Danio rerio: one gene and its partner. The protein of the gene in region 1 binds, or shares a complex with, the protein of each later gene. Links are inferred from orthologs where the notes say so. Each region holds a gene or a part of one and is shown in the gene's direction. Other genes may lie near its edges.

Region 1 (3,759 bases):
CACCGGAGAGCTCACGTGTAGCCTATAAATATACTATTGGACGGACAGACAGACAGACAGACAGACAGACAGACAGACAGACAGACAGACAGACAGACAGACAGACAGACAGACAGACAGATAGATAGATAGATAGATAGATAGATAGATAGATAGATAGATAGATAGATAGATAGATAGATAGATAGATAGATAGATAGATAGATAGATAGATAGATAGGATGGACGGATAGACAGACAGATATAGACGGACGGATGGATGGATAGACAGACAAACATGATAGATAGATAGATAAACACAGACAGCACCTACCAGACATTCATTATTGTAAAACGTGAATCAGGAAATGTTAATAAATGTGGAGCAGTGCAGATAGAGAAACATATTATTAGAAATTATGAATACTAAATGAGTGAAACTTATGGAGAATTAAGTTTAAAACAAATGAGAATTTAAGAATATTCATTCATTCATTTTCTTGTTGGCTTAGTCCCTTTAATTTAAGAATATGTTAAGCAATAAATTGGGGTGAATTAAAAAACAATAACAAAAGCACTCGGTATAAGAGCAACAAAGTTCAGTCTATTGAAAATTGAGAATATAACAATTAAGAATATGTTAAGAAATGCCCCAGAACAATATGAAGTGTATTTTGCGATTATAAATCAGTGAAATGCAATAGGTATAATAAATGGAATTTAAGGAGAATGAACTATAAAGATTATATATATATATGTGTGTGTGTGTGTGTGTAAAATACATTTTATTCTGTTATATATTACTAGTATCCAGTAAAAAAAACAGTGAAGTCTAGAAGGGATGCAGTTGCAGGTACATCAATATGACATAATTTGTGTAACACTACAACAATAATTAATATTTTCACATTACTGTGATAAAAGGGGTAAATGTTAATAAAAATTCAATTTAATAGGTAATGTTATAAAAAATATGAATAATACTTTGTATTATTACTTTTTCCATTACTGGGGTGGGGGTAGACATTGATAAATTACAATGAATGGGTAATTAAATAAATAATATGACTAATACTGTGTATACCTGTTTTTACATTACTGTTATGGTTGGGTTTAGGTTTGGGGTAGAGATAGACGTTAATACAATAAAATTAATGGTTAATTTATGAAATAATATGACTAATACTCTGTTTAATTGCTGTTTTTGCATTACTGTGAGGTTTGGGTTTATTGTTGAGGTAGGGGTAGATGGAAATATGGTAATAACATACAATTAATAGGTTATTTAATAAATAATACTGTCAGAATTGGGTTTAGGGTTGGGGTTGATGTTAATAAAATACAATAGATGTGTAGTTAAATAATATAAATAATTCTCGACCGCAGCTGTATCCCTTTTAGCAAAAACCCACACCAATCCACCAGGTGGCGGAAGTATAGCTTTTAAGAGGGTTGTCAACAGCCATTGAAACAAAGAAGAAGCAAACAGCGCAACTGACATCTCTTTCCTTCTGCTCAAACTGATAGATTTTAGTTTCATATTGAGCACAGATCATGTCAGCAGCTCTCGAGAAGCCGCAGATCATCGCGCACATCCAGAAGAGCTTGAACTACACGGTGTTCGAGAGCAAATGGATTCCGTGCAGCGCCAAGTTTGTTTGTATGGGAAACTTCGCGAGAGGAACCGGAGTGATGCAGATCTACGAGATCCAGCACGGGGAGCTGCAGCTGGTCAGAGAGGTCAGGTCTCTTCATAGTATATATTCACTGAAGCACAAATCAAACTGCTGAAAAGCTTTGCTGTTTATTAGCTAAGCCAGTTCGGCGCTTTCTAGAAAAGTCCTGAGGCGCGGTTGCCATGGCGACAAAACTCAACTGCCTCAGTCTCTGTTTACAACGCGTTTATTAACGTTTACTTCACCGTCATAGTTCATATTCATCCACAATACACATGTGAATCATGACTATAAGACTAGTCAGGGATCAGTTAAAAATAGAGATTTATTCATGATCTATTATGCAAAAATCCCTTTTATAAGGGGTTTAACCCCAGTTGTGTGTCAGCAGTTTGTGAATATCTCCAGCCTCTAATGGTAAAGATGAATTAATTGTGTTTGATGTAATCAGACTTAATAAAAACAGTCTGCGGAAACACTTTTTTAAAATTATATTTAATTTTATATATATATATATATATATATATATATATATATATATATATATATATATATATATATATAATATATATATATATATATATATATATATTTAATTTTTGAGTACTTTTAGGGCATGGGGTTGAAGATGAATACCATGTTTTGTAATGATATGTGAATATGTTGGTAAAATATAGTGTTTTTGGCCAAAAATCGAAATGGGCGACGCCCAAAATGGCTGACCTGTGAAAATCAGACATCATTCGACTCGACATGCTCTGCCGGATGTAATGAGACAAGTTTTATCAGTTTCGGACGAAAGGTTGAGACGTTATAAGCCAAAAATCAAGTTTTTTGTATCTCCGGACCACTAGGGGGCAATGTGCCAAAACTCAGCATATAACCTCGGACCCTAGTTGTCATAACACACACCAAGTTTGGTGTGAATCGGTGAATGCGTTACAGAGATATCGTCTCAAGTCCATTTTCGCAAGTTCTACGTTAAATTTGATCGCAAGTTAAGCGAAAACAGTTGGTCTAATCAACTTCAATTCCATAACTCTTGGTTGGCATGGTCTGTAGATCATGTGATTCAATTTTGGTGAAAATCGCAGAAACGGCCTAGGACGAGTTCGATCAAATAGGTTTTTCGAAAAATTTAAAATAGCGCGAAAAAATTCATGACGGAAAATGATGTCATAGGGTGCGTTTGAATCGGACTGAGCCAAGGAGTCAGCGGAATTTTGATTGTAGCCCATTCGGTTCAAAAGTTATTATGATAAACATACGTGAAAGTTTGGACAAGTGGTGGCGCTAGAGAGTTTGATTTTGAGACTTCACATTTGGTCTGATTAATGTTAAGACTGTCCTCTATCATTGTGCCAAATTATACAACTTTCCCGCATACGCCTATATGGGCTGCCATTCATATCCGGTGGAAGAAATGGAAGAAGAATTCTTACACTTGAATGAATCAAAAACTGAAGTACTAGTGTTTGGTCCTCCGAGTGTCTGTGAATCTACAATTAATAAATTAGGTTCGATCAAGCCTAAGGTCCACAGTCACGTAAAAAATCTTGGAGTTACTTTTGACACTGAGTTAAAGTTTGACAAGCAAATAAACTCAGTTGTCAAAAGTGGTTTCTATCAATTAGGGAACATTGCCAAATTGAAGCCTTTTCTTTCTTTTAAAGAGCTGGAAACTGTCATTAATGTTTTTATTATGTCAAGACTGGACTACTGTAACTCTTTGTATTCTGGAGTTTCACAGGCATCAATAGCACGCCTGCAGCTGGTTCAAAATGCAGCTGCTAGGCTTTTAACTGGGACAAAAAAATCCTCTAGTATCTCACCAGTTTTATTGTCTCTTCACTGGCTCCCAGTCCAATTTAGAATTCAATATAAATTATTGCTTCTAGTTTTTAAAAGTTTGAATGGTCTGGCACCGACTTACATTTCTGAGCTTCTTCACTGGCACACTTCATTGAGGCCAATCAGGTCCGAAAACACGTTTCAGCTAGTTGTCCCCAAAACGCGGTTGAAATCAAGAGGTGAAAGGGTTTTATTGCTGCAGCCCCCCGACTATGGAAGGGTCTGCCTTTACAGATCCGGTCATGTTCTTCAC
Region 2 (3,759 bases), on another chromosome or scaffold:
ACCCCCCACCCCTCTCTTCGCTTCACTTTAGAGCATTATTCCTATGTACAAAATTTAGGAGGGATACAGTGGCTCATTGGTTAGCACTGTTGCCTCACAGCAAGAAGGTCGCTGGTTCGAGTCTTGACTGGGTCAGTTGGCATTTTTGTGTGAAGTTTGCATGTTCTCCCATGTTGGTGTGGGTTTCCTTCTGGTGCTCCGGTTTCCCCCACAGTCCAAAGTCATGAAGTATAGGTGAAATAAATAAACTAAAATGTCTGTAGTGTATAAGTGTGAATGAGCGTGTATGGATGTTTCCCAGTACTGGGTTACAGCTGGAAGGGCACACGCTGTGTAAAACATATGCTGGATAGGTTAGTAGTTCATTCCGCTGTGGCGACCCCTGATGAATAAAGGAACTAAACTGAAAAGAAAATGAATGAATGAATGTCAAACTTGTTTTCTAAGGACCAGTGCAATTTGTTTTTACTTGCCCCATTACAATTCAAACACTTATTTATAAACAAAATAAGTTTATTTTAAGAAAGATAATTGAACCAAATTGGTAAAGAGTTTTAGAATATACAATTTAGTTAATTGTTTTTTTAGAATAATTGTTATTTGTACCGATTAAATAGCTTTACATGGACAAAAAAATTAACACCTGTTTAAAATTATTTAAGACCTGTAACACCCTTTTAAGTAAAGTTTTAAAAGGCCTAAAATGTTGTTTTTGAAATGTAAGACTTTTAAAGTCCCTGCGGACACCCTGAACAATTTTTCCATTAAGATGAGCATTATTTGTTCATCTTGAAAGTTAAATGCAAACAATCCTCTTTAGGATAGCTCTCAAATTACTGAGGATAAACCAAAATATTTGGATAAGATAATGTACGCCTAGAGCTATGATAGGCTTTGTTTATTACCATCTTATCGTACATTAGAAGAATGGCAAAATATGATATAAGATAATATGATAATATCAGGTTTAGATAGATGGGCTAGCCGCTGTTTCGCGATGAAAAGTCGTTAATATCCGGGTAAAAACTCTATTTGAAAGCATTCGACGTATTTGAACCGTATTTGACCACATTACTTAGATTCCCTGTTTCATTCAACAACGCGTCTTTGTTTAGATGCTGCAGATTTATCCACCCAACATTATTCTTTAACAGGCTTTGTTTATGGGGGATAATGGGGTTAGGATTACGTGACGCACTTTTAAAGCGTCGTTGGCGCATACGTCATTCTTGTGCGACGAACGAGTTACTTGCTCGTGGAGATGTTTCCCTAAAAATGATCTGAAGCGTATTAATAAACAATGTCCTCCAAGAACATACAGCGAACTGAGCCTGGGGCCTCAGAAGAGCGCGCACAAAAAGAGGAGCTGAACCAAAAGGTTGTCTATCATATATGTTTTTTGTAATTTATAGTATACAGTTGACACCAGTAAAACGCGTTAAGCATGTTTAGTAATTTCTGTTTTTTGATGATCCTAAAAACATAACTATTCATTCGCAGATAAAAGAGCAAAAGATTGTTGTGGACGAGTTAAGTAACTTGAAGAAAAACAGGGTATGTAACGTCATATCGTCTTGTCACTTTCTATATATTATCAAGAGTCATTCTGCATTTGGTGTAGCAGATGCTTTCACTTAATTATAGATGTAACAAAGTCAAACCACATCGCTATAGAAGGCAATATATACTAAAATGTTTTCTAGTGTAGCATACAATATAATATATGAACTTATGCTCCACTATACTAATTCGCAATAGATTATAAGTAGACTGTCAGGTGGGGTTGGTGTAAATTGACATGTACTTGCAAAGTTTCTTAGTCAGTGAAATGTTGAAAGCAGCAGTATCAGCAGATATTAAGCAGACAGTCTACTAATACCCAAATGAGAAGTAACTGGCATTTAGTTGCAGTACAACTTTAGTCAGAAAAATGTGCAACAGGGACCATCAAAATAAAGTCTTACCATGATATTAATTACATTCACATTTAAAAATATCAACTAAGAAGTTCCTTCGATGTTTAGAGATATTTTTCCAGTTAAATTTATGAAAGATAAAACGTAATTGTGAAACAGTTTATTTGACATCAATTAAAAGCAAAGTAGAATTTAAGCTTGACAAAATTATCAACTTATAAAGTACCTTAAATGTATCATCTGTTGCCATTTTCTAACCCATGGGGATTCAAATTGGATAATTCCTTTGAACTATTGAATTTATTATTTTAAGATAATTTACCTCAAAGTCAGTGTTCTTCTTATGGCAGACTTGTAAATGAAGCAAATAGGACTGAGTTTCATTTCTGGCCCATTTTTGTGGAGATTTTCTAGAGTACTTCTATAGCCAGTCCATGTGTATAGTGAAGTATCTTATAGTTATGCGTAGGTTTTTAAAATAGCTCTTATGTGCAGAGTTGTGTTTGTATTTATGATTAATTTATGTAGCACCGTTGTCCTGGGAGACTGCACATTTAGTTTCTCTGTATGTTCACACTAGGCATGGGCCGGTATAAATTTCTGACGGTATGATAACCTTGTATAAAAATACCACGGTATCACAGTATTGTGAAAGTGATTACTGCTCTCTCTTTTTTAAAATGTATGGGTAAAATAGAACAAACATTTATAATTTCCCCACTGAACACAAATTATTTATTTTAAGGAACATAATATTTTGGAACAGTAAACATGTCAGGCTAAATAGTTAAAATAAATCTTTGACTTCTGCTCTATTCGTTAGTTTGAAAAACGTAGATTTCTATACAACACATAAAAATATATAAAAAAACTTTTACATATAACTTGGGAACGGTATAACAGAACAATTTACTGGGATTAAAACCTTGAATTTTCCAAACCGCGGTAAACCTTGAAACCGGTTACCGTCCCATGCCGAGATCACACATGTAGTGGAATGACAATAAAGCTCAACTTGACTTGATATCATCACATTCCAGTAATACTAAGATTATATTCACAGAGAGTGTACACCCAGCAACCCAACAGCAATATATTCTTTCTGGCAGACAAAGGAGAAACCCTTAGCTCTTGTAAACGTAAGTGTTTCTGTTATACTTGAGTTGTTTCTGCTTTTTTGATAGATGATACATAAATACAATACTAATGCCACCATTTTGAGTGTGTTCTTCTAACATTGTCATAATATTCTGTTATACAGAGGACCTGGATAACATGCGGAAAGAATATCAAGATATATAGTGAAGTGATATCATGTGTGGGATCTGCTGTGTGGTCAGTTTGACCACACCACATGATCCACTGGAGGAGAATGTGCTTCAAAATCTCAAACACAGAGGACCCAATTGTAGCAAAGACATTACAAAAGAAATCTCAAACTGCAGTGTCCTATTCTCTGCACATGTACTTCATATGAGGGGTTGCCTGACCCCTCAACCTCTTCAAGATGACACTGGGAATATGCTTCTCTGGAATGGAGAGGTGTTTGGTGGTCTGAAATTAGAGCAGGAAGAAAATGACACCAAAGTTCTTCTTCATCAACTGTCAATGGCCACCAGTGCCTCAGATATTGTATGTTTGTTATCACAACTCGAAGGACCGTGGGCCTTTATCTATTACCAAAAGTCTGAGCGCTGCATCTGGTTCGGGAGGGACTTTTTCGGGAGAAGAAGTCTGCTTTGGAAATTCAATCCTGAAAGAGCTTTTTTCACACTCGTATCAGTTGCTTCCCAGCCAGCAGATGATAGTCAATCCCAATGGCAGGAGGTACCACCTGGTGGAG

What was found. Proteins that work in one complex are often made in the same cells at the same time.
Region 2: dnaaf10 (region 1) and asdurf share a complex: the UniProt entries of both Homo sapiens proteins name them as parts of the PAQosome complex. The link is inferred for Danio rerio from reciprocal best matches to the Homo sapiens genes DNAAF10 and ASDURF.

The regions. Positions count from the first base shown.
Region 1 is NC_133188.1:1,036,437-1,040,195, forward strand, and holds the start of dnaaf10 (dynein axonemal assembly factor 10), read left to right. Parts: upstream 1-1,511; 5' UTR 1,512-1,533; coding exon 1,534-1,719; intron 1,720-3,759. UniProt on the Homo sapiens protein: Key assembly factor specifically required for the stability of axonemal dynein heavy chains in cytoplasm.
Region 2 is NC_133184.1:42,816,627-42,820,385, reverse strand, and holds asdurf (ASNSD1 upstream open reading frame protein), read left to right. Parts: upstream 1-1,225; 5' UTR 1,226-1,300; coding exon 1,301-1,378; intron 1,379-1,500; coding exon 1,501-1,554; intron 1,555-2,979; coding exon 2,980-3,055; intron 3,056-3,177; coding exon 3,178-3,218; 3' UTR 3,219-3,230; downstream 3,231-3,759. Other genes in the region: asnsd1 (asparagine synthetase domain-containing protein 1), read left to right, coding at 3,231-3,759.